Linked DNA regions of Struthio camelus. The protein of the gene in region 1 purifies or fractionates together with the protein of each later gene. This does not show direct contact. Links are inferred from orthologs where the notes say so. Each region holds a gene or a part of one and is shown in the gene's direction. Other genes may lie near its edges.

Region 1 (15,012 bases):
TTCTTTCAGCAGTAGAAATGGAATTCATTAAAATAGCAAAAGGCTGTGTGTATCTTCATGTCCGTAGCCTATGATGATCTATTAATGTTTTTGCAATCTAGGAGACAGGCTGGTAGTTAAACATAGGTTAACATAGTTATCTGCTTAAGTACAGCTGGAAGGAATTAAAATCTATCTTCAGTATTGACATTCTGCTCTAAGGTTTATTTTGCTTCTAATTAATTGGAAGGGATGATATTTTGCTTTTATGATAACTGCAGATTTTCCCCCCCTAATTATTTTTGGCAGAGTTGCATGTTAATTCTAGAACATCTGTCCGTTTGTAAGATATCACTGAGGAATTTAAGCAAGTACTAAATACATGGAGGCAATAAAATTTTCATCACTGGACTTTATTTTGTTTTTTGTTCTCTTTCTAGAGTGGCTTACCTAAAATCAAAAAAATTTGGTAAGGCAGAAATTGCTCACATGGTCTCAAGAGCTCCATATTTGCTGTTGTTTTCAGTGGAAAGACTGGATAACAGACTGGGTTTCTTCAAAAATGAACTTGGCCTCAGTGTAAGAAAGGTAAAGGCTATATACCAAAAGTCTTTGGGTACTTTGTCAGTGACAGTAGCGAGGCCTTGGAACACAGGGCCTTGTGATGACCTTCCAACACTTGTATGTAAGTATTGCTAACAACAGCAAGCAACTCCTTAACTTGTAGAAAGTTAATTGACTTTTCATCTCTTCAGGATACTGTAACATAGTAAAGTTATCGGTGAAAAACAGTCTAATGAACGAATGCCATATCCACCTACGTGACGAACCATGTGCTCAACTGGTCAAGAGTAACCTCTGGGTTTCCTGGTGAGCACTACCTTGCTAAGTGCTTAGCAGGTGTTTCACACCCTGCTTTGGGATCTTCATAGGATCTAGCTTCCTGGAGTAAGTGGGAAGTGTGTTAGTTGTTTCCCTGCAGTGGCTGATGATGCCCAGTGCCAACTAGAATCTTGTATTCTTCTATTAGTTGGACTTTTTCAGGCTTGCGGTAAGAGACTGCTCTGGTAAAGTGTTTAGTCGCTGCCTTGTAGTCATGGTGGACTTCGAGTACTCCTGGGGTTTAGCAGATGTGGGGTAGTTTCTTATGCTACCATAATATTATTGCGTAACCAAACCTGAGGTAGAGAAATAAAGTACTGCAATAAAAAAAAATCTTTTTGCCACTTCTATCAGGTAGTACTTTCTTTACTTTTTTTAAAGAGATGGGAAGAAACAACCCTAAGCACTGAGAAACAGTAGGCACTTCAGTATGCTTTCTGCATTTGGGGTATGCTTTTACTCCCTCTTCCCATCTGTTTTTCATTAGCTATGTTTTTTTTTTTCCCCCCCTCTCTCCAAATGGAACATGACATTTGAGTAACTTTTTGCTTCTTATCAGATTGCTGCTTCATACGAACTCATCTTTGGGCTAGAGATAAAATGAAATGCAAGAGAAAGTTCTTTTCCAACTAGAATTAGAATTCAGGAAAAAAAATGTTAATGTGAAATCTGTATCTTTGTTTCAGAGACTGATTCACAGACATGCTTCACTAATGATCTTGTTTTCCTTGTATGTTTTATTTTTTCTAATCGCAGACAAAGGATCTGGTAATTCGTCTTCCAAGGCTACTGACTGGCAAATTAGAGCCTGTAAAAGAAAATATTCAGGTGAGCTTATTAGTAGATGTTAAAAAAAAAAGCGTACCCACACAGTTTGAGTCAACAGAAGGTAAAACTCCTTGTAGGAAAATCCTGTATATAAAGAAATAATTTAGTGAAGATGTAAAATAACTTTGAGCACTTTATCAAACCAGTTCTCTTCCTCTGTAGGAAGCTTACAGCAAGCTTGCAGCATACATGGAACAATATCTTATTCTATCATTTAGTCTGATGTAGGTTAGAAACGTCATTTGGGCCACTTTCTGCTGAAAGTTGGTGTGTGTTGACACAAATGGCTACCCGTTTCTTTACAACGAGCGAAAAATAGGGCCTGTTCCCTCCCTTTATTATTATTCTTGTGTTGTTTGCTAACTTGGATTGTCTGTGAGGATTTAGGAGCAAGAAATGTGCAGCTGATTATTTTTCTCTTGGCAGGTAGCTAGTCTGCCAAAATGTGCATTTGACACCTATTATCTGATAGCAGATGGTCGTTATTAACAACTGTTGGGTAAATAACTTCAAACCCACAGGGACTCCTTTTCCCTTTGAAAATGTAACTGTGTATTGCTTTAATTATTGTGCTTTAAAGCCAGCTAGGCCAAAGAGCATGATGCAGTGTAACAAATTGAGAAATCCCATTATCCTATAATATGTAACTATGAATTAAAATATATAATTTGCAGACAGACTTACTGTTCTGAAACTATTAAGCACTGGGAGTCTTAAAATCTGGAATGTGTGTGTGGTAAGGGAGGAGACTGGAAAGTAGCAGGCTGTTCCAATTAATTGTGCTTTCTTTTTAATGAACGTTATTTCCACAGGCTGGGGATTCAGTATATTATAATGAATGTGTTTTTAAGACCCTGAGTTCTGTGCGACTATCTTGTCCAACTGTCAAAAGTATATAGCGTACCATTCTTATTTTAAACAAATGTTATGGAGCGAGGGGAAGGATTTTTAGGTCCTCACTGTTGGAATCTACTGATACTCAGAAGCTCCAGTTTTTCTGGAAGTTGAATGTCTCAGACTTGATCAGGATTCTGTCCTGTATGTCCTAGGTTGGCGGTGGAAAAGTGGCACTCTGCAAGTGAAACCATATAACAGCAATTCCAAAGTGATCTGGTGGCATCCCTTGTTCCAAGTGGGCTGTTACCATTTAGAAATAACTGCTACAACTGATACTGGTTATCAAAAGATACCAGTCATGAAGTAAATGAGCTCAGGAATGGGTTGTTCCATCCTTTAGAGGTCTCATCAAGTCCAATCAGAGATCCACTGATAAAGTAGAATTGGAAAATTTGCATTATCATTGCCTTTGCTGGGAATCATGCAGAGCACGCTGAACATTGCTAGGGTGTACACAGTAAGGATATCAATATACACAGTCTGGGGAGTTGCTGAACATAAATAATTTGAAGTCAAATTGAGAATAATCAAGGGGATTTGCACTTGAGCTCCATGTCAGTTGAGAGAATTATTGTTGTCCTGTTTCACAGAGCGGAAATTCAGGCAAGTGGAAAGCTCAAGAGACTTGCCACAATTAAGTGTACAGTCGGGCCAGCTATACATCTCTACTGATTTAACATCAGGTCTTAGTCTTTGTTTTCAGTGTAGCAAGTTATGCCTCCCAATTCAAATCTGTGAAAAACACCGCTACGTGCACACATCTCTTTATACTCCAATGTTATCTGTTTGTTAATGTTTTTTGTGATAGGCAAATATTTGTAAAGCAGATAGGGAATAAGCAGTAGCTGAGAGACCTGAATATAGTAATCTCTAGAAACAAGTGCCTGTCCAGGCCTGAAAGTCCTAAGGCAGCTTCAAAACCCTGATACCAAACCCTTCCCTTCGCGTTTGCCAGGCAGTCTAAGAAAAGAGCTTTGGTCTTGGCAGATCAAAGCGGGCAAACAAAATGTACCACCTTCTTGCCAACTGTAGAAGCACCTGAGCTGGATTTGAAAGTCTGGTTATGTTGACTGTGAGCACGTTGGCCTGATAACTAAAAATAAGCTGCTTGTAAATGTCACTGGAGGAAAGAATAAATGGATGAACTACCAGACAGACACTCTTGTATGCTAAATTCCTTTCTCTGCAACTCAACGAACTGCTTGCCATCCTGCCCTTTGGGAGGAGTACCCATGATTTTATTGAAAAAATGTGTTATATTTTCCTTTTGGGAAACTGTAATTGAAGTCAGGGCAGTTTCTGAACAAGACATCTTACTTCAGGCCTTAACCGACTGTAAAGTAGACTGAATATACCAGGTATTCTGCATGTCTCTTTCCAATTAAATGGACTTCATGTCTAAAAATTGCTGGATTGAAATCATGCTCCTTAGTAAAACAGATATCACTTGAATATATTAGAAGAGAAATAGCACATTAACAGAAGTATTAACAAAGATTCTTTGGGGAGAAGTCTTATGCTTGTAACTGCCCTGCATACAAAGACATAGCTTTTTTGTTCATATATCAGACAAACTGAAAAATAGATAGCATTCAGAGAAATTATCTTTACTTAAGGGATATTTTACAAACAAACTATACTTTCACCCAGAGTGATAAGCAGCTTTCACTCTCTGCTTCAGAGAATTGGAGTCACAGATACTATTGTGGATTGTACTCATGTTGCTGAGTGACAAAGGGTAGAAGAATTTTGTGTTAGGTTAGTTGGGAAAAAAAAATTAAGTTTGCTGTAGTTGACTTTTGAAGATAAAATTGTGTTCTTTCTCAGGTATGTCAGATTGAACTTGGTTTTCAGCGTAATGAAATTCAACATATTGTGTTTAAAACCCCCAAGATTTTAACTGCAAGCAAAAAGAGGCTCAGGCGGACGTTTGACTACCTACACAATATAATGGGCATTCCCCACCACATGCTTACTCAATTTCCTCAGGTGAGCTGTTAATCTGGGGATAAAATGTAGGTGCTCTTTGCCTAATTGCTTTACTAGTTTGGTGCCAAAGGAGGAGCCTTGCTATGTGCAGGACAGACATGAATTCTTCATCTTGTCTGGCTGTTACTTTAATTTGGATAACTTTTTTTAGCAACCTACCAACTGCTATAAATTCCAGTTTGGAAGTTCTCTTCATTCCCTCCTCCTGCAGTCTAGTGAATACTTATTTCTAACAGGAGTAATCATGCTGATCTCTTTTGGAATCATACAAGAGAGATTAGTGCCTGCTTAGGGATTCGTCGTCTTCAAACCTTATGTCTAGGTAAGAGACAAGAAAGAAAACATGGAGCGTATTACACAGCACATTTATAAACATTTCTCTTTCGAATTTGCCTGGTTAAAAATTAAATTTTCTACATTCTAAGATCTGAAAATATCTTACAGTTTAAAGGCAAGAAAAGAAGTTTTCTCCATGAGGCAGTAAGATTCTCACTGACCTTGCTACTGCAAAGGCTTAAAAATAATCACAGAAATGAAAGTAGTTGAGCTTATTGATGGCTACTTCATTTTTTCTGTCTTCTCATTACAGTTATTGCCTCGCAAATCAAGTTGAAAGCATTAGTCACTTTATCCAGTGCTGACATGCAATCAGTTGCATAGCACCCAGTAACTTTTACAAGGAAAAAAAAGCACACATTACAACTTCAGTAGTGAATAACTTTCTTCTTAAAGGAAATCTAACAGGGAATCTAACTGGCTAAAAAAGCAATGTATTATATGGGGAAATAAGACTGCTCTCCAGGGTTTTGATTGCTTTGATATCTGATATATACCTGTCTTTACTTAACACTGATGTTTGCTGTAGTACCAATCCATGTCTCACTTTTGCCCTCCTTGACTTGTAAATCACCATAAGCCTTGCTCCTTTCCTTCTCAGTTGTACTGTTCCGTCTTTGTGGTGCTTCACCTCATTATTTCTGTTCTCTTTGCTTGGAGAGGAAGTGGAGAGATGCCTTAATTTCCCATTCTTACTGCAGACACCTTCTCTCTCTTCCCTTCTCTTCCCTTCCATCCTCAAAACCAGTGGCTTTCACAAAGAGGCTAGCACAACTCAGTCTGCTATATGGCCTGGCCATCAACCAGCCTGGATGACAATAATGCCAAAAATAAGAGGCACTCAGGACTTTTTTTTTGTCACATCTTCTCTGCTGCTGCAGCTGCTGATCATCCTTCCTAGTCAAGTCCATAAGCAGTGGTCAGTCTGATTTATTTATTTATTTTTATTCCCCTGCCCCTTGCCCCTCTTCTGACTCTCCCTTAAAGTGCAAGCAAGGCATTGTGTGCGTCCTCAATAGTCCTTCCCTCAATACTGCAGTCTTCCCTTTTTACTAAGAACTTTGCTCACTTTCACTCCCTTCACAATTCTTGTTGTCATTATAATCGGCTCTTAAAGCAACTTCTCTCTTTAGTTGTACTGCAGAGCTAGATCTCTGCTTTTAAGGTTTCTTACTATGCATCTATGATGCACCTGCAGCCTACTTCCCTGTTGTCTTCCCCACGTCTCTCTCCTTTCAGATGTATCCCACTGATTTCTTCCATGGTTTCCTTGTCATTGTTCTTACCTTTGACTGCAGTTCTCTTCATGACAAATGCCTTCAAGGGTAAGCACTGCTGTGCAGAAGATCAGTGGCTGTTCTGAATCAGTGAACAGTGCCTTTTGGCTGTGTTATGAAAGAGATGCAGCCACTCACTTTCTCTGTTGCCACTATGTGCTTCACTGTTTTGTGTTATGTAATACAGTGCAATTTCCTCTCCATAACAATCCCAATCTGAATCTGTACAGAGACTGTATAAGGAAGTGTTTCCACCTGTATATGCAAAATGCTTAGGCATTCCTGCTCCCTGTATCTGAATGTCTCCTTTCCACTTTCTTGGCTGTGATTACCCAAAAGTAATGCGTGTAACTATCAGCCTATAAGCTGTCATGCTCAACAGTTTTATCACTCCCTGATTTCTCTTGTTTCAATATAATATGATTTAAATTCTAACCTCTTTCTGATATTTGGCCTAAATGAGGGCAAAAGTTCTAAATCATTTATTTTCTTGCTAAAACTTAGGTTGTCTATAAATTGCTGTGTTTTAGATTCATCATATTCTGAAATTTAGACCCCCTAAAAGCGTCTCCCTTTTCTTTCTTTCTTAGGTTTTCAACTCAAAACTTCTACGAATCAAAGAGAGACATTCGTTTCTTACGTTCTTGGGAAGAGCCCAGTATGACCCAGCGCAACCCAGCTACATCTCTCTTGACCAGCTAGTATCCTTGCCTGATGAGGTGTTCTGTACAGAGATTGCTAAAGCCTCAATACAGGACTTTGAAAAATTCTTAAAAACACTTTAATTAGTAACACATGTAAAAAGGAATAACGTAAAGTTAAGAAATAAACATATTTTGTAAACCTACTCCCTTTTATGGTCTCTTAGCTTCTTAATTACTGGTTTAAGAAGTTGTTGCTTGTGAAACATTTGTGGTGCGTAAAGGCTAAGAGTAACGTTCTTTATGGTGACTTCAAGTGTATTTCACAAGGATTAAGCAAATATATGTTGATTGCTATTGATTGTAATCCTTGTAATTAATTGCTATTATCTAATTCAGAATGAATGATGCACTGGCAGAAAAGTAAATTAAAGCAAATTCTTCTACCTTTCTTTTTCAATAACTTCAGAGCTTTGGGAAAGGGAAAAACTGACCAGTGACTGACTTCTCTGCCTCTTCCTCTTCATCTCCTCAGCCCACCACCCTCCAAGAATTAGAATAACTAGCCAGTGCAACAGCAAAGAAGTGGAGTGATCACTTGTTCTAATCGCAGCAGCTAATAATGTAATTCTTTTCTTTTCCTTGTAGAGAGAAGTACACAACTACATACATGAAGCCCCTCATACAAAGTGGTGTTTTACAATAGCTTACAAGAAGGGTGCTTCTTTTTGAGGCTAGTTGCTGAAGTTAATATCCTAAAAGCTGTACAATCAAACTTAGTTTGAAATATAAACAAAAATCAGCAAACTGAATATAGGCCAAAAAAAAAAAAAACCCTCCCTCAAGATTTCAGGGACATGTTTAGTTTTACTTTTATAACACACTTTCCCCTCTGCCTCTGGGAGGGGAAGGAAAAAGGTAGTTTTGCCCCATCCCTGATGTGATTTGTATGGCTTCAATATACAAGCAACCATACAAAAAGCAGCTGTAGTATATATGTAGTTGATAACTGTTATCTTGCTCAGTTATAACGGAAGTAGATGGTAACATTAGGAATTGTACGAGTATTAAAAGTAGTTAATGCTATCAACAAATAATGTAGAATTATGAAATGCTTCGCAATATATTTGGGTAAAGTGAAAAAAATGACTAAATCTGAAGGCAAACTGTCTTAATAGTTTATTGTTTAAAGTTTCCATTCTTTTGGTTAAAATAGTTCAGGAAACTTAAATCCAGATGTTTTCATTTGGATTTAAGCTTATTTAATGAAAATATTTTGGGTGGGTTTTTTTTTTTTTTTGAAAGCATAACGTTCTTGGTGGAGATATATAACAAATTTCATCTCAAGTGGTGGCCCAAAATGTGACGGCTAAACACTTTCCCAGCCTCGCTTTCAGATAAGAAGTATGCTAAATCTAATTCAAGATGCTTTCTTAGATTGTTGACCTTATTAAAGCAAAGGGCAGGTTAAGCCTAATAAGCTATAACCTTCAAACCATCTAACAAACTAATTTTTATAGCAGAACCTATGCGTTCATAATGCCAAAGTAAAGACAGTTTCCTTTTCTTTTTTCAGATCTACCCCTCTGTCCTCATCGCTACTTTGTCGCCATGTGACAAGGCATTATAATTTAAACTGTAATTACATATAAAATTTTCAATGTCCTAAATGTTGAGCTTTTAATTCCTTTAATATGTTTAAACACAAACATGATTACTGTCAAAACTAACCAGTCTCCTTGGAATTTTGAATGCATGAGCTTTTGCCAAAATAGTTTCCCAGAAATACTATGAAGAAAGGAAACAAAAAAATTTATGGATATGCTAAAAGAAAAGGGAGAGAGGATAGAAGAGCTTGTTGGAAATCATACCAAATATTTTTTGGCTTCAAGATTAAAAAAGTCTTCAGAAGAAAGGTTTGGCCTAGAATTTCCAAAGTATTCTAGTCTGTTGTTCTTGATAAGGGCTAGAAGCTTATGATTAAGTTGGGTATGTTGAGTAATTGAGGCTTGCTGGATACCATATGGCAGATACTTGCAGTCTCTGAAGTGTACTGTTTGCCTGCTTATCAAATTCAGCTGCCTAAATGAGTTTGCAGAGCACTCGCTACAGGGGCACTTGCCCGTTGTGTCTGCGGCTTCTCTCCAGTGCCGTTTCTCGCCTGACTCCGCTCCGATTTGCGCTGTGGGATTTGGCGAGTCTGGGGCCTTGGATAACCTTCGGTGCGCCCGGTCCTGTGCCTCGGCGGCAAGGCTACGCGCAGGCGCTGGAGCCCGCTTGGCGCAGCGGTCCCGAGCACCCCCTTTGCGCCCCGGACCGCCGCCGCCGCCGCCACGCCTCCGCCGGCCTGGAGCCGGGGGCGGGAGCAGGGGAGGCCCCGCCCTTCACTTGGGGCGCATGCGCAAGCGCCGAGCCGCCATTGGCGGCACAGGTGCGTCCTGCCCCGCCCTTCGCGCCTGGGGACGCCGCGGCGTTACCCAGCAGGCAGCGCGCGCCTCCGAGGTCAAGATGGCGGCGAGGGCACCGGGTGAGGCGTTGGTGGGCCGGGGTCAGGCTCGTGGGGCGCGCCCGTGGGGCCCGCGGCGTGGGGCTCCCCTCGCCGCCGCCGCCGCTGCCGCTGGGGGAGCCGCGGGGGCCTTACCGGGAGCCGGCGGGCTCTGGGCGCGGGGAGTTGCGCTGTCGGCGCCCGCAGCGGGCGGGAGGCTGTCGTGCCCCGGCCCGGCCTGGCCCTTGCGGGCCGGCTTCCTTCCCGCCCGTCCCGAGCGGCGACCCGACAGTCGGAGCCTCCGCCGGGGAGGGCGAGGCTGGCTCCGCCGTGGGCTTTCCCCCGGTGCGGCTTCCCAAGGACGCCGGGGCGCAGGGTGCCTGGGAGCAGGGGAGCCCTTGCTAGCGCCTGCAGCTCAGCGGAGGGCTTCGGGAACCGGTGTCAGGCCGAAGGGCTGCCTTCGGGCTTAGGGTGTTCAATATCATTGCTGCTCAGGCATTAACAGTATGAAGGACAAGTCCTGATGAAGTAATGTACCAGTGACATGCTGGGGTCACATGTAGCACTGCTCCTTTGGGGTAACTTAATAAGACAGCTGACTCAAAAGCATAAAAAGCAGCTTGCACCATATTGCTCCGTTGTTCAGTTTCTGGATTTCTAGATAGGCAAACTAACTGAATTACTTCAGTGGTATTTGATACTGAAGAGAACTTCACTGTCAAGGATTTGTAGCTTTGCTCTGTCCTCTTCTACCCAGAATTCATGGCTTAGAAAAGACTACTGTGCTACTGGTGTGGTCTTTTTCTTTAGAACAATTTTTTTTTTTGTTGAGGTTCTCCATGTTGACTTTGCAGTTACTTTGGGAGGCCTTGAAGATATAGGCACTAGAATATTATTCAAGTAGTAGGAAGGGGGACAGAAGGCTAACAACGTTACTGTGCTGGCCATGACATCATACCAACCCACAGCGAGAGCTATAAAACTTGTAGCTATAGATAATTGATTTGAAAAGCACTGTGACTTCGCTTTCTGTAAGGCATTATGTTCTTAGCCCAGGTGAAACTTATGGATCCTAAAGTAATTGTTGCTGTCTTTGATTCTGGGCTGTTAGCATTGTTCCAAGTCTTAGAACAGTCTAATAGTCAAATTGTGCAAAAAGAGAGGTTGGGATTTTTGTATTTACTGGTGCTCGTTCTCAATGTTCAGTGTCAATTTAAGAACACGGAAAAGCAGAGAAGCCAAATCGTACATGACATAGTGCAAACTTGACGTAATGTTGCGTTACTGCATGTGAAGGAAGTCAGCGAGCATTGACATGCTGTTAGGGTAACGTGTAAATGTTAAGTTCTGTCTTGCTCTTGGACTAATAACAGTCGCTTTCAGTTTCAGGAGGTGGCCGCCTGTTAGAAAGCATTCGTAAGTGGTATTACAATGCGGCTGGATTCAATAAGCTTGGTAGGTATTGTTTCTGCATGTGTTCCTAAGCAAAAAGTCTCACAATCTAGCTTTAATTCGTTACTGGTACACATATGCTCATTTGACATAGGTATTGTTTATCAAAGTTAATTACTATTTTTGTCTGTAGAAAAAAGTTAGCAATAGCTTCAGTCCTTGCGATTGCTATCTAGTAATGAATCACTGACTCTTTTTTTCTGGTTTTTTTGGTTTTCTTTTTTTGTGTCCCAGGGAAACTGGGTTTTTCATTTTTTTCTGCCTAAGTTTACCCTGTCATTGTCTCACCAGGACTTGATTTAGGCCCTCTTCTTTCCTGCCTGCTGAAATTCTTGAAGATATTAGTACTACTTGCTGCTTTTCTATGACTGTGATTAAAAACCTGAAGATTAAACTAGCAACTGTCCTTATACTTTTTTTTTTTTTTTTTTTTTTTTTTACAAAACTGAATTCAAGCATATGTGGCTCTTAAAACAAACAAGAAAGGTCTCTTTAATCAGAGACTATTGCTAGCTCAGTCACATAAGATCAAAATCAAAACCTTTATCCGTGAACCAGTACACGTACTTATAATCTGCATTTATCTTGGAACGTTACAGAAGCAGAACAAGCTTTTTTTTTTTTCTTTTGTGTTGTTCATGCTGAAACTTATAGCAGAGTTGATTGAATTCCAGAAATCGTTTGCTCCAAAAACAATGTGGGTCTATTTTTGGCTTTGAGGAGACCAAATTATTCTCCCTGTATTCACTTTTGGTAGGAAAATAAGCTTAGTCAGAGGCATCTAACTTCAGGCATCCCTAGCTAGTTATAGCTGGTGGAGATCTAGTCCATATGCACGGTGGAGTTTAGAGAACAGTTCTTTGATGCTAAAGTAGTCACAGCTACTTGAGTGACTATAATATAATTAGTGCTTTTAAATCCTAAACCTAGACAGTCATCTTAAATACAGGGATCTAAAATTTGTTGACTGTAAGTCCACCCTTCATATCCAGGCTAGCTGCTTTTCTATATGTATTCTGAGTACTCCAGTGTAACACATAGAATCAAATATCCATTTTTCCTGTTCATTTTTGAGAGAGAGCATCACCAAGTGAATCATGTACATGCAAGTCAGTGCTTACAGTTTGTTCTCTGTGAGCAAATACTAATTCTCTTCTCTTGCATTGGTCTGTGCTTGCATTTTAGGTGTGATTCTAGTGTTATGTTTAACCTATGTTAATCGTAAATCTTAATTAGTGATATTTATTCAATGATGTTGTAAAATCTTGCCAATACAGGGTTAATGCGAGATGATGTGTTGTACGAAGATGACGATGTAAAAGAAGCACTCAAGAGGCTTCCAGAGCCTCTTTACAATGAGAGAATATTTCGCATGAAGCGAGCACTTGACTTAAGTCTGAAACATCAGATCCTTCCAAAGGAACAGTGGGTGAAATATGAAGAGGTATGTGCACAGAGTGTTTCCGAGTCTTCAGGATTTTCTATGTGGTGGAGGTGTATACTTGCATATTATTCATAATGAGTAAATATTGCAGTCCGTGTCTAATAGGATACCTTTGAAAATCAGAACTTTTGATCCCCGTTTAAAAACGTGTATTTTGCAATGGAAGATCCCTTTATAACACTTTGCTCAACATGACAAAGGCTTAAACTACAGATCAGAGTCTTAGCGCTTCAGTTTGTATTCAGATGAAATATTTTTTCTGCATTGTCAGGTAAGGTAATCTGCTGTAACTGGCTTAGAAATTCTTAAAAAACGTCTCTTGCTTTTCTGATGAGCATCTTAATTTTATAGAAAATCTTGAGCCAAAGCTTTTATTCTTAAAAATGCAAAGGAATAATAACTTGAAGGAAAACCTTGGTAATGTTTTGGTAACTGCTGCATTGGTCAACTGATTGCCTAAGTTACTTGAGCAGCAGTTTGATTTATGAGTGTTTAATGCAGCTGAGTTCTGTTGAATCTGTTTGAAGTGGTGTTTAGAGCTAAAGTTGAGGAAAAAATTCTTCAGTGCAAAGAGTATTTTTGTTGGACTTTGAGCTGAATAAAGTGGATCATGTACATTTCCGCATCTTAGAATCTTTCCTAATTCAGATGCATTTATTTATTTTGTGGGTTTAGTAATTTGACTCTGGCTGTCACTTAGCTTGGCGTTGCACTTTAATGAGACTCCTCAACCTCGTACTTGGGATATTTGACAAGAGAACATTATTTCTAAAGGTACAGCTGAAAGCATCACTGCTTGTTAACGTTCATGAGGCAATAGGAGTTAGCAGTTACTACGCTGCTATTTGCAACAATTGCAAATGTGTTAAGTTTATCTTTTCACAGTGAGCAGTGTGTGGAGGGTTTGGTTTGGGTTTTTTTTTCCTCAAATCTGAGGAGAAATGTGAGGGAAGTAGTCTGCATGAATTTTAGTTGTTTCTGGCCGTCCCTATAAGTTTAATTTTTTTTTTTTTTTTTCAGGATAAGCGTTATCTTGAACCATACCTAAAAGAAGTAATCCGTGAACGACTCGAAAGAGAAGCATGGAACAAGAAATGACTATTGAACTACTCCATGTGAATGTCCACTTCTTTCTGATATTTTTAAAGGTGGTTATAGAAGAAGTCTACTGGAGGCAAATATGAGGCTTAAGGAATACATGTTTCTGCTTGTTCATTGAATCTGTTCATCCAAGTAAAATAAATGTGTCAAAGTATAAAATCTACTTGGAAGACTTCTTGGTAAATGTTAACAAGCTAGTGTTACCATACCATAGTGGTATGCAGTCTTCATTCCAACTTCTTGATTCATACTCTTTTCATAGTACAGCTGTTTCCTGCAGCTGGCAGGATAGGTAAGAAACAGCCAAGGCTGCTGATGCTAGCTCATCTGTTGCTTATAAAGGGGTTGCTTATTTCCTTTACCACCTCTTCTCCATGGAGGCAAGAATACTGGAATTGAGGTTACGGTGGCATCATGAAACAGCAGCATGTCGTATTCTGTGGATCTAAGCAGATAAAATGTAGTAGTGGAAAGTATAAATCGTTTCTTAATCACAAAATGAGGAAGTATTTCACTACCTTTTTGCACCATGTACCTTGTTAATGCTCTAAAAGTGTATTCTCATATAAATGCTGACTGTCTCACCTCAGGTTCTTGAGACAATCTAACCTTTTAAAGGGTGAAAGTGGTATGTTGGTACCCTTTCTACAGTATAATTAATAAACTTTGGATATCTTTTTCCTAGCCTAAAGCATGTTGTTGTTTATAATGATTGGCTTGAAGTATTTTAAACTGTCAAGGTAACAGGCTTAATGCCATTAGAGATGGACACGGAATTCAGTCTCTGCTTAAACACAGAAGCAATTTAGTTATATCTAGGAAGTATTAGCCATTGTTGGCTGAAGATCTTGAGTTTAGAGTCTTCCATAGTTTAATGGTAGTTTTGAGACAGCCTTTGGTGCCACACGCAGTTGAAAATGTCAGGCCACAATCTTGTGTGATAGTTACAAGTTTCTTTTTTGGGGAGAGGGGGATGTTATGCGTGCTTGTCTGCCAAATGCAATAATGCATAGATAAAAAGCCAAAGCAGTTAAAATACAATTATATAAATATGGAGCAAACCAAGTCCGTAGTTCAAAGGTATGATCAGATAGCGTTCTGGGTTAGAAGTTAGAATAGGAACAGTCATTATCAAAGCTAAAAGAATGTTTCTAACCTTTATCTACTTGCTTCATGCTTGCTTACATCTGGAGAATGAGTAGAGTGGTACCTAGTTGAAATGTTTATTTCAAATTTGATAGCCTAGTGTGATAAAACAAAATACTGCAAAAATATCTGCATTGCTAATATTCCTTAACAAATGTAGAGGAAACTGCATTAAGACTATGAAGTTGCTTTCATCACCTACAGTTTCTTGCAAACTTGAGAAAATCCTTTTTTCTTGCTTTGTTAAGGTTATAGCAGAATCTTGCAATTGAAACATGCTAGAGTTTTCGTATGCAGATTTAGTGTCAAGAGCTTTCTAATATACTTTTTCCTGAGACAAATAGGACCTGAACATTTCACACTTCTCATGTATAGAATTATTAGAATACTTCATTTCCTAATGGAATTAGAACTACTTTGTTATCTCTTAGAAAATTAGAATACTATCTAATGGACATGGGCTTGGAATTTCTTAAGCATTTGAAAGTATCGCTGCCAGACTTCTGTAAAAGGTAGGATTTTGCAGAAAGATAGCATCTGCTTATTTGACTACAA
Region 2 (15,180 bases), on another chromosome or scaffold:
AGTTGTGGGCGTTGAGGGCCACGATGCGCGACTGGTCGGGCTGCGCGACGTCCGCAAAGATCACGTCCACCATGCCTGGGTGTCACGAGGTAGGTGACAGGGGGCCGGGGACCCCCCCCCCCCCCCAAAAAACTTCCCACCACTGTGCTCCAGCCCCCCGAGATGTCCCCAACCCCCCTAAATCCTCTCCTGGACCTCCCGAAACCTCTTTGTGGTCCCCCAAACATCCCCTAACCCACAAAACACTCCCAAGAAACCTCCCAAGACACCAAGATGCCCTCGAACCTGTCTCAAGACCCCAAATCTTCATCCTAAACCCTCTTGTAGCCCCTCAAAACCCAACACACCCAACTGGACCCACACAAACCTCTCCCAGGTACCCCGAGATGGCCCCAGACCACTTTCTAAATCTTCAAGACGCTCCAAATACCCCCCCCAAACCTCTTCTAAACCCCATGGGACCCCAAGACACCTCTCTAGAACCTCCCTAACAATCCCAAACTCATCTAAGGTTTCCTTGACCTCCAAAACACCACCAAAAGCTCCCCCAGGTGGCATGAGATGCCACCAGATGCCCTCCCACATTTCCAAGACACCCCTAGACCCACAAAAACCTCTCCTAGACCCCCAACCCCCATCCTGGGCCCCCTTCTATGTCCCCCAAATCCCCAAACAACCCTTAGGAAGCCCCAGAAACCTCTCCCAGGTGTCCCAAGATAGCTCCAGATCCACCACCTGCATCTCTAAGATGTCCCCAGGACCCACAAAATCCTCCCCTAGACACACTAAGGCCCAAAGTACCTATGTAGGACCCCTAAAATAACCCCAAACTCACCTTAGGTCCTCCTGATCCCCACAAAAACACCAGAAACCTCCCCAAGATGGCATAGGACGCTCCCACACCCATCACCTGCACCTCCAAGATGCCCCCAAGACCTCCAAAATCATCTCCTAGCCACACTAAGACCCCAAAATAACTCTGTAGGACACCCCACAAAACCCTGAGGACACCCAAAACGCTGTCACCCGCAGCCAGGCTCACCGATGAGCATGCGGTACTTGTGGGGGTGCCGGGCGTCCTCGATGACGGGGATGACGTTGGTGCGTTTCTTGGCCACGTTGATGAGGTCGCGGCCGGAGCGATGGGAGAACTCGACGGCGTAAACCAGTCCCTCCTGCGGGACAGGTAGGGTCACCCCCCTTGCGGGGACAGCCTCGGGGTCCTCGAGCCTGGGGGTCACCCCTGGGGACGTGGAGCTGCCCCCCGTCGGGACAGCGTGAAGACAGGGATAGGGATTTGCCCCCTGTGGGGACAGCCTTGGGCAAAAACATCTCTGAGGACACAAATGTGCCACCTGCAGGGACAATCTCAGGAGGTCCAAGTCGCCCCTTCCCAAATGTTACAGGGATGTCCCCAAGGGGATCGATCACAGTCCTGTCCTTGGGTCCCCTCACCCCTGGGACACCATGAAGATGTCCCCAAGGAGATCACAATCCCATCCCCAGGTCTCCTCAGCCTTGCGACACCATGAAGATGCCTCCAAGGGCATCACAACCCATCCCCTCACCTCTGGGACCCCATGGTGACGTCCCCATGGGGCACACAACCCCATCCCCAGGTCCCCTTGCCCCAGAACGCCATGAAGATGTCCCCAACGGAATCACAACCCCATTCCCGCGTTCCCTCACCCCAGAACACCAGGCAGATGTCCCCAAGGAGATCACAACTCCATCCCCACGTCTCCTTGCCCCAGGACGCCACATCAACGTTCCCAAGGAGACCACAACTCGTCCCCACTTCCCCTCAACCCAGGACTCTTGTGTCCCCTCCCCCGGCGGGGGGGTCCTTACCGGTCCCACGATGTCGGAGACGTGGGACACGGTCGTCCCCGAGGCGGCACCCAGGTAGAGGACCTTCGCCCCCGGGCGAATGTGGATCTGGTCGATGCCTCCCAGGATGGCGGCCGCCAGCTTGGAGCGGAACGGGTTCCAGGCGCGGTACTCCACCTTGGTGTCACCGTCCTGGGGACAGGGGACACCCCAGGGATCCGTCACCCCCGGCGGTGACACCCCCAGGACCTGCACACCCCACACTGCCACCTCCCAGTGCCTCCAGTTTGGAGTCCGAGAAGGTCCAGGTGCTGGTACTCCAGCTTGGTGTCACCATTCTAGGGATAAGTGATACCCAAGGTCGCGTCACTCCCAGTGGTGACACCCCCAGGACCTTCACACCCCCCAGTGCCACCTCCCAGTGCTCCCAGTTTGGAGCCTGAGGAGCTCCAGGCATTGTAATCAACCTTGGTGTCACCAGCCTGGGGACAGGGGACACCGCAGGGACCCCTTCCAGAGCTCCCAGTTTCCCCCAAGTCCCTCCCAGTTGCCCCCAAGTCCTCCCCCAAATCCTTTTCCGTGTTCCCTAGTCCCCCCCAGTGTCCTCCCAGTTGCCCCCAGTGCCCATCCAGTTGCCCCCATGGCTCCTAGTTCTCCCCCCAGTGCCTCCCAGTAGCCCCCAGGCCCTCCTAGTTGCCCCCAGGCCTTCCCCAGTGGCTCTCAGGTGCCCCCCAGTTCCCTCCAAGGCCCTCCCTGTGCCCTCTAGTCCTCCCCCAGTGCCTCCCAGTTGCCCCCAGTGCCCTCCCCTGCCCCCAAATCCTCCTCCAGTCCCTCTCAGTTGCCCTCCAAATGCCTCCCGGCACCCTCCCGGTAGCCCCAAGCTCCTCCCAGTTGCTCCCAGTGCCTCCTACACCTACCCCAGTGCTTCCCAGCTGCCTCCAGTGCCCTCCCAGCTGCCCCCCAGGTTCCTTCCCATTCCCCCATATTCTCCCCAGTGCCTCCCAGTAGCGCCCCCAGAACTCCTAGTACCCCCTATGCCTACCCCAGTGCTTCCCAGTTGCCCCCAGTCCCTCTCAGTTGCTTCTGCTGCCTTCCCAGTGCCCTCCCGGTAGCCTCAAGTGCCTCCCAGTTGCTCCCAGCTCCCCCCAGTGCCCTCCCAGTTACCCCCCCAAGGCTTTCCCTGTACACCCTACACCTACTCCAGTGCTTCCCAGTTGCCCCCAGTCCCTCCCAGTTGCCCCTCATTCCCCCAAGTTCCCCCCACACCTACCCCAGTGCTTCCCAGTTGCCCCCAGTGCCCTCCCAGTTGCCCCCCACCTCCACGGAGATCCTCTTCTCGCCGTAGACGGACTCGCCGGGCACCATGTTGCGGGTGACGAGGGCGTCCTCCTTCCCCCGGCAGATGAACACCCCTGGGGGGGCAAAACCGGGGGGTGCGATTGCCCCACAGTGCCCCCCAACTACCCCCATCTCCCCTAAATGCCCCACGGCACCACCTAAACCACCCCCATCCATCCCCAACTGCCCCATGGTGCCCCCTAAATACCCCCGTCCTCCCCTAAACTGTCCCCATCACCCCCTCAACCACCCCCGTCCCCCCCAACTGCCCCACGGCACCCCCTCAACCACCCCCATCCCCCTCAACTGCCCCATGGTGCCCCCTAAATACCCCCGTCCTCCCCTAAACTGTCCCCATCACCCCCCCAACCACCCCCGTCCCCCCCCCAACCGCCCCACGGCACCCCCTAAATACCCCCGTCCCCCCCAACCGCCTCCATCCCCCCCAACTGCCCCACGGCGCCCCCCCAACCGCCCCACGGCGCCCCCCAAAACCACCCCCGTCCTCCCCAAACCGCCCCCTTTTCCCCCAAACGTGCTGCTGCCCGCCCGGACGCCTGGGCCCCCGGTACCTTCGTGCCGATGGGGCTCCACCGTCACCTTCTTGCCGCCCTTGAAGCCACCGCGACCCCCCCGGCCGCCGCCGCGGCCCCCCCGGCCGGGCCCTCCTCTTCCTCGGCCACCGCCGAAACCGCCGCGGCCGCCCCCACCGGGGGACTTGAACCCGCCACCTGCGGGGCCAAGGCCAGCGGCGCTGACGAGGCCCCTAACGAGGACGGGGACTGGGGAGCGACTGGGAGGACTGGGAAGGGATAGGGAAGCCACTGGGTGGACTGGGAAGGGGAGAGAGAGCGACTGGGCGGACTGGGAAGGGATGGGGAAGCCACTGGGCGGACTGGGAAGGGGAGAGGGAGCGACTGGGCGGACTGGGAAGGGGAGAGGGAGCGACTGGGCGGACTGGGAAGGGGAGAGGGAGCGACTGGGCGGACTGGGAAGGGGAGAGGGAGCGACTGGGCGGACTGGGAAGGGGAGAGGGAGCGACTGGGCGGACTGGGAAGGGGAGAGGGAGCGACTGGGCGGACTGGGAAGGGGAGAGGGAGCGACTGGGCGGACTGGGAAGGGGAGAGGGAGCGACTGGGCGGACTGGGAAGACTGAGAGGGAGACAGGGAAGTCACTGGGTGGACTGGGAAGGGACGGGAAAGCGACCAAGAGGACTGGGAAGACTGGGAAGGGTCAGGAAAGCGGCTGGGAGGGGACGGCGGAGTGACTGGGAGCTGATGGGGGAGCCACTGGGCGGACTGGGAAACGATGGGAAAGCAACTGGGAGGGGATGGGGGAGCAACTGGGCGGACTGGGAGGGGGCGGTGGAGCTCCTGGGTGCACTGGGAAGGGGTGGGGGAGCCCCATTGGGCAGACTGGGAGTGGACCGGGGAATGACTGGGCAGACTGGGAAAGGATGGGGAAGTGACTGAGCAGACTGGGAAGGGACGGGGGAGCAACTGGGCAGACTGGGACAGCAAGAAGCAGAAAGTAGGCAGACTGGGATGGAACTAGTGCCCAACTGGGCAGACTGGGAATGGGACCGGTGAGCTACTGGGCAGACTGGGACAGGGCAGGAGAGCTACTGGGCAGACTAGGATGAACGCAGAGAGGAACTGGGCAGACTGGGAATGGGACTGGGGAGCTACTGGGCAGATTGGGACAGGGCAGGAGAGCTACTGGGCAGACTGGACTGAGAGCAGAGAGGAACTGGGCAGATTGGGAATGGGACTGGGGAGCTACTGGGTAGACTGGGGTGGGATGGAGCAGCACTAGGAGGGGACAAGGGAGCTGCTGGGCGGACTGGGACAGGGTGGGAAAGCTACTGGGCAGACTGGGATGAACGCAGAGAGGAACTGGGCAGCTACTGGGTGGACTGGGACGGGGCCCCGAGCCCCACTGGGCGGACTGGGACAGTGCGGGGAGCTTCGTGCCCGGCTCTGGCGTCCCCAGGGCCGGCAGCGCCGGTCATACTGGGAGCACTGGTGGTACTGGGAGGGGGCGACACTCACCTCGGCCCCCCCGGAAGCCGCCGCGTCCCCCGCGGTCCCCGAAGCCGCCGCCGCGGCCCCCCCGGGGGCTGAACCCTGTCGGAGACGGGCGCTCAAACTGGGCCAACTGGGAGCACTGGGCAGCAGGCAGAGGCCGCCCCAGTTCCCTCCCAGTCTGCCCAGTTCCCCCCCAGTCTCTTTATATCCCTCCCGGTCCCCTCCTGTCTCCCAGCATCCCCCCCCAGCATCCCCAATCACCTCCAGTTTGCTCCCAGTCTGCCCAGTTCCCTCCCAGTTGCTCTAATTTCCTTCCCAGTCTCCTTCTGTCTCCCAGTATTCCCCCCCCCCAGTACCCCCAATCGCTTCCAGTCCCTCCCAGTATGCCCAGTAGCCCCCAGGCCCTCAAATGTCCCCTTAGCCCCCCTAGCATCTCCCAGTCCATTCCCACCTCTCCCAGTTCCCCCCCCCAGTTTCCTCCCAGTGTCCCCCAGTTGCCTCCCTGTCCCTCCCAGCATCTCCCAAAGTCCCCCAGTCCTCTCCCAGTGCCCCCCAGTGTCCCCCAGCCCCTCCCAGTGTCCCCTAGTTCCCTCCTAGCACCTTCCAGTACCCCCCCAAGTTCCCTCCCAGTGCCCACCAGTCCTTTCCAGCCTCTCCCAACACCACCAGTCTCTCCCAGTGTCCTCTAGCCCCATCCTAGGGTCTCCCTCCCAGTCTCTCCCAGTACCCCCAGCTCCCTCCCAGTTGCCTCCCTGTCCCCCCCAGCTCCCTCCCAGTCTCTCCCAAAGCCCCCAGTCTCTCCCAGTCCCTCCCAGTGCTCTCTAGCCTCATCCTAGGGTCTCCCAATATCCCCAGTCCCTCCCAGTACCCCCCCAGTTCCCTCCCAATGTCTCCCAGTTCCCTCCCAGGGCTCCCCATCCCCCTCCCAGTTGCTTCCGAGCCCTCCCAGTCCCTCTCAGTGCCCCCAGCTCCCTCCCAGTTGCCCCCACTCCCCCCAGTTGCCTCCTTGTCCCGCCTAATCTCTCCCAGTTGCCCTCAGTCTCTCCCAGTTGCCCCCAGTCTCTCCCAGTCCCTCCCAATACCCCCCAGTTCCCTCCCAATGTCTCCCAGTTCCCTCCCAGGGCTCCCCATCCCCCTCCCAGTTGCTTCCGAGCCCTCCCAGTCCCTCCCAGTGCCCCCTGCTCCCTCCCAGTTGCCCCCAGTCCTCCCCAGTTGCCTCCCAGTTGCCCTCTCAGTCCCTTCCAGGCCCTCTCAGTCGCCCCCAGCCCCTCCTAAATGCCCCTCAGTGCCTCCCAGTCCCTCCCAGTCGCCCCAGTCCCTCCCAGTTCCCCCCCCCCCCCACCTGGCCGCATCCCGCCGCTGCTCCACGCGGGGTCGCACGCGCCGCTCTCGGGGCCCCGGAACCGGAAGCGCCTGCGCGGCGCTGACGTCACGGCGCGGCTCCACCGCCCCCCTCCGTTCCGGAGTCCCGCGCATGCGCCGCGGCCCCCTCCGACGCCGCGCGGGGCCGGGCGGAAGTGCCCACACCGCTCCCAAAGAGGGAGGGGGCACGGGGGGGGGGGGAGAGGTTGGTGGCTCTGGGGGGTATTTTGGGGCAGAAATGGGGGGTTTGGGGGTCCTGGGAGGTATTCTGGGGCAGAAATGGGGGATTTGGTGCTTCTGGGGGGTCCTGGGAGGTATTTTGGGGCAGAAATGGGGGATTTGGGGAGTTCTGGGGGATCCTGGGAGGTGTTTTGGGGCAGAAATGGGGGATTTGGGGGTCCTGGGGGGTATTTTGGGGCAGAAAAGGGGGATTTGGGGGGTTCTGAGGGATCCTAGGAATGTTTTTTGGGGCAGAAATGGGGGATTTGGGGGTCCTGGGAGGTGTTTTGGGGCAGAAATGGGGGATTTGGGGGTCCTGGGGGGTATTTTGGGGCAGAAATGGGGGTTCTGGGGGGTCCTGGGAGGTGTTTTGGGGCAGAAATGGGGGATCTGGGGGGTTCTGGGGGGTCCTGGGAGGTATTTTTGGGCAGAAATGGGGGATTTGGGGGTCCTGGGGGGTATTCTGGGGCAGAAATGGGGGTTCTGGGGGGTCCTGGGAGGTGTTTTGGGGCAGAAATGGGGGATTTGGGGGTCCTGGGGGGTATTTTGGGGCAGAAATGGGGGTTCTGGGGGGTCCTGGGAGGTGTTTTGGGGCAGAAATGGGGGATCTGGGGGGTCCTGGGAGGTATTTTGGGGCAGAAAAGGGGGATTTGGGGGGTTCTGGGGGGATCTAGGATGTGGTTTTGGGCACCAATGGAGGTTCTGGGGGTTCCTAGGAGGTATTTTGGGGCAAGATTGGGGGATTTGGGGGTCCTAGGGGGTCCTGGGAGGTGTTTTGGGGCAGAAATGGGGGTTCTGGGGGGTCCTGGGAGGTGTTTTGGGGCAGAAAAGGGGGATTTGGGGGTTCTGAGAGGTATTTTGGGGCAGGAGTGGGGGATTTGGGGGTTCTGGGGGGGTCCTAGGAGGTATTTTGGGACAGAAATGGGGGATCTGGGGGGTTCTGGGGGGTCTTGGGAGGTGTTTTGGGACAGAAATGGGGGATTTGGGGGGTCTGGGGGGTACTGGAAGGAGTTTTGGGGTAGGAATGGGGGATTTGGGGGTCCCCGGGGGAGGGGGCTTTTAGGGCCCCTCTCGGCGCCCACTTCCCCCCCGGCGGCCGGCGCCGCTCTGTCCTCCCGCCTCTTCTCTATGGCCGCCGCGGTCCTCCTCGCCGCTCCCCCTCCCTGCCCGGCCGCCTCTCTAGCCGCCTCATCTCTGTGGCCCCGCCCCTTGAGGGCCGCTAGAGTGGGGGGGGACCGCGCCACTTCCGGCGCCGCTCTGCGCTTTCGCGACGTCTCGCTGGTTCCGGTGCGAGGGCGGCGGCGGTGAAAGTCACTTTGAGGGAGCGGCGCGACTCGGTGAGGGGGGCGGGGGGCACTGGGAGGGAACTGGGAGCACTGGGAGGGCTCGGGGGGGGTGCTGGGAGCGCTGGGAAGCGGGGGGATCCGGGGCTACTGGGAGCACTGGGAAAGGGCGGGACTGGGAGGCCGGTGGGGGGGGGGAACTGGGAGCACTGGGAAATGGCGGGAGTGAGGTTACTGGGAGCACTGGGGGGGCACTGGGAAAGGGGGGGCAGCTAACTGGGAGTGCTGGGAGGGGGAGACTCGGTGTTACTGGGAGGAGTGACTCAGGCTTACTGGGAGGAGTGACTCAGGCTTACTGGGAGGAGTGACTCAGGCTTACTGGGAGGAGTGACTCAGGCTTACTGGGAGCACTGGGGAGGGGGGAACCCAGGCTTACTGGGAGCACTGGGAAGGGGGGGACCCAGGCTTACTGGGAGCACTGGGGAGGGGGGAACCCAGGCTTACTGGGAGGAGTGACTCAGGCTTACTGGGAAGGGGGGGACCTAGGCTTACTGGGAGCACTGGGAGGAATGACTCAGGCTTACTGGGAGCACTGGGAAGGGGGGGACTTAGTCTTACTGGGAGCAGTGATTCAGGCTTACTGGGAGGACTGGGAAAGGAGGAACCCAGGCTTACTGGGAGGAGTGACTCAGGCTTACTGGGAGCACTGGGGAGGGGGAACCCAGGCTTACTGGGAGGGCACTGGGCGCACTGGGATCTCTCCCTGCCCAGCTCCAGCCCTGCAGCGTTTCGGGGAGCCCCCGTTAGCTCCAGCCCTAACGAGCGCCCCCCTGCTAACGAGCCTCCTAACGACCCCTGTGAATGAAGCTTGCTAGCATGCTCCGCTAACGAACCCCATTAACGACCCCCCTTAGCGAACCCCCCACTAATGAACCCTGTTAATGAGCCCCCTGCTAACAAACCTCACTAACGATCGCTGTTAATGAGCCCTGCTAACGACCCCCCCCAAGAACTCCCTCTAACAAATCGCCCCGTAACACCTATTTGCTAACGAACCCCATTAATGAGCCTCCTAGTTAATGAACGTTGCTAATTAGCCCCCCCCCGACTAATAAACTACCTGCTAACGAGCCCCCCCACTAATGAACCCCCTGCTAATGAATCCTGATAGCACCTCCACTGCTAATGCCCCTTGTTAACGAACCCTAATAAGAAGCTATCATCCTTGCTAACGAACCCTGTTAATGAGCCCCCCAATAACGAGCCCCACTAACGAACCCTGTTAGCATCTCGTTGCTAACGAACCCTGTTAATGAGCCTCCCAATAACGAGCCCCACTAATGAATCCTGTTAGCATCTCCTTGCTAACGAACCTTGTTAATGAGCCCCCCAATAACGAGCCCCGCTAATGAATCCTGTTAGCATCTCCTTGCTAACGAACCTTGTTAATGAGCCCCCCAATAACGAGCCCCGCTAATGAATCCTGCTGGCATCTCCTTGCTAACGAACCCCGTTAACGAGTCCCCCCCGATAACGAACCCCGCTCCCGCCTCTCTGCTAACACACCCCACTAACGCCCCCCGCCGCCGCTTGCAAGCCCCGTTAACGAACCCCGCTAACGAGCTCCCCTTGCTAAGGCCCCCCCCCGGCTAACGACCCCCCTCCGCTAACGAACCCCCCGCTAACGAGCTCTCGTTCCCCCCCCCCCCCCCCGCAGCGATGGCGGACGACATCGAGGCCAAGCTGCAGCGCTACCGGACGGCGCCGTTCGACAGCCGCTTCCCCAACCAGAACCAGACCAGGAACTGCTGGCAGAACTACGTGGGTAGGGACGCCTGGGCCCCTCGGACGCCTGGGCCCCTTCCGGGGGCGGGGGGCAGGAGGCCCGGACGCCGGGGCCCCGCTGGGGATGGGGGAGGCTCCGCGGGCGCCGCTTCCGCACCCGGAAGCGGTTCGAAACCAGCTGTCGGAACTAGGTGGGTAGGGACGCCTGGGCCCCCCTTTCGCCCCGGACGCCTGGGCCCCTTTGGGAGGGGGGTTTGAGGGGCTCCTGGAAGCCGAGGTGTCTCTCCCCGGACGCCTGGGCCCCCCGGACGCCTGGGCCCCTTTGGGAGGGGGGTTAGAGGGGCTCCCAGAAGCCGAGGTGTCTCTCCCCGGACGCCTGGGCCCCCTTTGGGAGGGGGGTTTGAGGGGCTCCTGGAAGCCGAGGTGTCTCTCCCCGGACGCCTGGGCCCCTTTGGGAGGGGGGTTTGAGGGGCTCCTGGAAGCCGAGGTGTCTCTCCCCGGACGCCTGGGCCCCCCAGACGCCTGGGCCCCTTTGGGAGAGGGGTTAGAGGGGCTCCCGGAAGCCGAGGTGTCTCTCCCCGGACGCCTGGGCCCCCCGGACGCCTGGGCCCCTTTGGGAGGGGGGTTAGAGGGGCTCCTGGAAGCCGAGGTGTCTCTCCCCGGACGCCTGGGCCCCCCGGACGCCTGGGCCCCTTTGGGAGGGGGGTTAGAGGGGCTCCCGGAAGCCGAGGTGTCTCTCCCCGGACGCCTGGGCCCCTTTGGGAGGGGGGTTAGAGGGGCTCCCGGAAACTGGGGTGTCTCTCCCCGGACGCCTGGGCCCCCCGGACGCCTGGGCCCCTTTGGGAGGGGGGTTAGAGGGGCTCCCGGAAACTGGGGTGTCTCTCCCCGGACGCCTGGGCCCCCCGGACGCCTGGGCCCCTTTGGGAGGGGGGTTAGAGGGGCTCCCAGAAGCCGGGGTGTCTCTCCCCGGACGCCTGGGCCCCCCGGACGCCTGGGCCCCTTTGGGAGGGGGGTTAGAGGGGCTCCCGGAAGCCGAGGTGTCTCTCCCCGGACGCCTGGGCCCCTTGTGGAGGGGGGTTAGAGGGGCTCCCGGAAGCCGGGGTGTCTCTCCCCGGACGCCTGGGCCCCCCGGACGCCTGGGCCCCTTTGGGAGGGGGGTTAGAGGGGCTCCCGGAAGCCGAGGTGTCTCTCCCCGGACGCCTGGGCCCCCTTTGGGAGGGGGGTTAGAGGGGCTCCCAGAAGCCGGGGTGTCTCTCCCCGGACGCCTGGGCCCCCCGGACGCCTGGGCCCCTTGTGGAGGGGGGTTAGAGGGGCTCCCGGAAGCCGAGGTGTCTCTCCCCGGACGCCTGGGCCCCCTTTGGGAGGGGGGTTAGAGGGGCTCCCAGAAGCCGGGGTGTCTCTCCCCGGACGCCTGGGCCCCCCCGGATGCCTGGGCCCCTTGTGGAGGGGGGTTAGAGGGGCTCCCAGAAGCCGGGGTGTCTCCCCGGACGCCTGGGCCCCTTGTGGAGGGGGGTTAGAGGGGCTCCCAGAAGCCGGGGTGTCTCTCCCCGGACGCCTGGGCCCCCCGGACGCCTGGGCCCCTTGTGGAGGGGGGTTAGAGGGGCTCCCGGAAGCCGAGGTGTCTCTCCCCGGACGCCTGGGCCCCTTTGGGAGGGGGGTTTGAGGGGCTCCTGGAAGCCGAGGTGTCTCTCCCTGGACGCCTGGGCCCCCCGGACGCCTGGGCCCCTTTGGGAGGGGGGTTAGAGGGGCTCCCGGAAGCCGAGGTGTCTCTCCCCGGACGCCTGGGCCCCTTTGGGAGGGGGGTTTGAGGGGCTCCTGGAAGCCGAGGTGTCTCTCCCTGGACGCCTGGGCCCCCCGGACGCCTGGGCCCCTTTGGGAGGGGCGTTAGAGGGGCTCCCGGAAGCCGAGGTGTCTCTCCCCGGACGCCTGGGCCCCCCGGACGCCTGGGCCCCTTTGGGAGGGGGGTTAGAGGGGCTCCTGGAAGCCGAGGTGTCTCTCCCCGGACGCCTGGGCCCCTTTGGCAGGGGGGTTTGAGGGGCTCCTGGAAGCCGAGGTGTCTCTCCCCGGACGCCTGGGCCCCCCGGACGCCTGGGCCCCTTTGGGAGGGGGGTTAGAGGGGCTCCCGGAAGCCGAAGTGTCTCTCCCCGGACGCCTGGGCCCCCCGGACGCCTGGGCCCCTTGTGGAGGGGGGTTAGAGGGGCTCCCAAAGCCATGGTCTCTCCCCGGACACCTGGGCCCTTTGGAAGGGGTCGGAAGGTGCTCCCGGCCACCTGGGCCCCTCGGGAGGGGCCGGGGTCCCCTTCCCGGACGCCTGGGCCCCCTGGGGGCTCAACCCCCTGCGTTTTAACACCCCCTCGCCTCCGCCGCCCCCAGATTTCCACCGCTGCCAGAAGGCGATGGCGGCCAAGGGGGCGGACGCCAGCCCCTGCCAGTGGTACTACCGCGTCTACAAGTCCCTGTGTCCCACCTCCTGGGTGAGTGTCACCTGCCCCGTCCCCGTGTGTCCCCAACGCTCCCGCCGTGTCACCGGGGCGTCCCCCATGCCCTCACGTTCCCCGTGGCGTCGCTGCGGCGTCCCCCGTGGCCTCAGTTCCCCCGCGGTGTCACCGTGGCTTCCTTGATGCCCCTGCGGTGTCACCGGGGTGTCCCCAATGCCCTCAGGTCCCCTGCGGTGTCACCGGGATTTCCCCAGTGTCCTCCGTTCCCCTATGATGTCCCCAGTGCCCTCAGGTCCCCTGATGGTGTCACTGGGGTGTCCTCAATGTCCTCAGGTTCCCTGTGATGTCCCCAATGCCCTCGGGTCCCCCACGGTGTCACCATGGTGTCCCCAATGCCCTCAGTTCCCTGATGGTGTCACTGGGGTGTCCCCAATGCCCTCAGGTTCCCCATGGTGTCACTGTGGTGTCCCCAATGTCCTCCGTTCCCCTGTGATGTCCCCAATGCCCTCAGGTTCCCCATGGTGTCACCGGGGTGTCCCCAATGTCCTCCGTTCCCCTGTGATGTCCCCAGTGTCCTCAGGTCCCTCGTGGTGTCACTGGGGTGTCCCCAGTGCCCTTAGGTTCCCTGTGAGGTCCCTGGCGGTGTCACTAGCATGTCCCCAGTGCCCTCAGGTTCCCCGTGGTGTCACCGTGGTGTCCTCAATGTCCTCCGTTCCCCTGTGATGTCCCCAGTGCCCTCAGGTCCCTCGTGGTGTCACTGGGGTGTCCCCAATGCCCTCACGTCACCCATGGTGTCAATGTGGCGTCGTCACCATCCTGGTGCTCTGCACTGCGGCATCCTCGTTGCGTCACTGTGGTCTCTCTGATGCTACCGGGTCCCCCACAGTGTCACTGTGGTGTCCCCATGCCCCCGTGATATCATCGTAGCGTCCTCAATGCCCCTAGATCTCCCATGGTGCCACCACCACCCCTGTGGTGTCCTCGCTGCCCCCAGATCTCCCACAGTGTCCCCCACGGTGCCACTGTGGCGTCCCCACTGTCCCCAGAACCTCCATGGTGCCCCCACAGCCCTCGGGGCATCCCCGTGGTGTCTCCAATGCCCCCGTGGCGTCACCGTGGTGTCCCCACTGCCCATGCATCCCTCATGCGCCACCATGGCATCCCCACAGCACCCCTGTGTCCCTGGCAGTGTCACCCCAGGGGTCTTGCTGCCCCCTTGTCCGTCATGGTGTCACCATGGCATCCCCAGCATCTCCGTGTCTTCTGTCACATCCTCACGTCCACCACTGTGTCCCCTGTGGTGTGCCCATTGCCCTTGTGTCCCATGGTGTGTCATTGTGGTGTCCCCACTGCCCCCAGGTTCCCCATGCCATCCCCAGGTCCCCCACAGTGTCACCATGATGTCCCTGCCACCTCCAGCTCCCTCACAGTGTCACCACGGTGTCCCTGCCACCTGCAGGTCCCTTATGGTGTCCCTCTGTCCCCCTTAGCATCACTGTGCTGTCCCCACAGAAATCTCAGGTCCCACATGGTGCCACTGGTGTGTCCCCACCACCCCCATGACCCCCCATGGTGTCCTCACGTCTCTCATGGTGTCAGTGCAGCATCCCTGCTGCTCCCGGGTCCCCCATGATGTCCCTGTGTTCCCTCTGGTGCCACCATGTTGCCCATGGCATTACTGCAGTCCCTGTGATGCTCATGGTGTCACCATGTCCCCCATGACATCACCGTGGTCCCTGGGTCTCTCATGGTGTCTCCCATGATGTCACTGCAACCCCCATATCCCCCATGGTGTCACCGTGTTCCCCACGAGGTCCCTGTGCTTTCTACGCCCCCCCATGATGTCACTGTGCTCCTTGTCTTTCCTCTGACGTCACTGTGTCCCACGTGGCATCACTGCGATCCTTGTGACCCTCGTGGTGTCCCCCATGCGGTCACCGTGTCCCTCGTGATCTCACTGTGATCCCTGTGACCCTCGTTGTCTCCCTCAGTGCCACCATGTCCCTCATGATGCCACTGCAGTCCCTGTGACCCTTGTGGTGTCATCTATGGTGTTACCATGCCCCCATGATGTCCCCGTGGTCCCTGAGACCCTCATGGTGTTCCCCGTGGTGTCTCTGCATCCCTCACAATGTCACTGTGACCCTCATGGTGTCCCCCATGGTGTTAGCATGTCCCTCGTGATGACACCATGGCCCCTGTGACGACCCCCCCCCCGGTGTCGCCCCACAGGTGACAACGTGGGACGAGTATCGTGAGGAGGGGACCTTCCCTGGCAAGATCTGAGCGTCCCCGACCCGGAGGTGTCGCAACGGGTGACTGAGCCATCACCGGGAGGTGACACGGGCGTCACCAGCCCCGAGGGGGGGGTGACATGGTTGTCACTGGCGGGGGGGGAGGGGATACAGCCGTCATTGTGGGCGGTGACACTGCTAATAAAGGGTTAAACTGGCCCCGGATACGTCTCAGTTTTGCTGGGAGGGACCCGGACGCCTGGGTCCCTTGGTGGGGAACAGGGGACCCCCGGACGCCTGGGTCCCCTTGGCGGGGGGGAGGGGGGAATGGAGCGATGACAGACTCTTGTGGGCGGAGCCAGAAGCTTTATTAAAACAGTCGTCACGGGGGGGGAGGGAGGGGGACGACTCCCCCCCACCCGGACGCCTGGGTCCCCCGGGGTGCTCTATGGGGCTGGATCCCAGACGCTTGGGTCCCCGAGATGCTCTATGGGGCCTGGGCCCGGACGCCTGGGTCCCCGGGGTGCTCTATGGGCACCCGGGGACGCCTGGGTCCCCAGGGTGCTCTGTGGGGCCGAGTCCCAGATGCCTGGGTCCCTGGGGTGCCCTATGGGACCTGTCCCAGCCCCCACCCAGACACCTGGGTCCCCGGGGTGCTCTATG

What was found.
Region 2: the proteins of UQCRB (region 1) and COX6B1 purify together in Homo sapiens (affinity purification with mass spectrometry; 3 studies listed by BioGRID and IntAct, counting the BioPlex papers as one, with this or other methods). This does not show direct contact. The link is inferred for Struthio camelus from reciprocal best matches to the Homo sapiens genes UQCRB and COX6B1.

Annotation. Positions count from the first base shown.
Region 1 is NC_090943.1:148,238,856-148,253,867, forward strand, and holds UQCRB (cytochrome b-c1 complex subunit 7), read left to right. Parts: upstream 1-9,214; 5' UTR 9,215-9,226; coding exon 9,227-9,356; intron 9,357-10,697; coding exon 10,698-10,769; intron 10,770-12,043; coding exon 12,044-12,210; intron 12,211-13,230; coding exon 13,231-13,308; 3' UTR 13,309-13,474; downstream 13,475-15,012. Other genes in the region: MTERF3 (transcription termination factor 3, mitochondrial), read left to right, coding at 420-567, 1,618-1,689, 4,414-4,575, 6,779-6,973. UniProt on the Homo sapiens protein: Component of the ubiquinol-cytochrome c oxidoreductase, a multisubunit transmembrane complex that is part of the mitochondrial electron transport chain which drives oxidative phosphorylation.
Region 2 is NC_090974.1:159,286-174,465, forward strand, and holds COX6B1 (cytochrome c oxidase subunit 6B1), read left to right. Parts: upstream 1-7,923; 5' UTR 7,924-8,114; intron 8,115-9,777; 5' UTR 9,778-9,779; coding exon 9,780-9,885; intron 9,886-12,218; coding exon 12,219-12,319; intron 12,320-14,515; coding exon 14,516-14,569; 3' UTR 14,570-14,735; downstream 14,736-15,180. Other genes in the region: FBL (rRNA 2'-O-methyltransferase fibrillarin), read right to left, coding at 1-75, 1,043-1,175, 1,852-2,022, 3,148-3,242, 3,741-3,899, 5,221-5,295, 6,539-6,548. UniProt on the Homo sapiens protein: Component of the cytochrome c oxidase, the last enzyme in the mitochondrial electron transport chain which drives oxidative phosphorylation.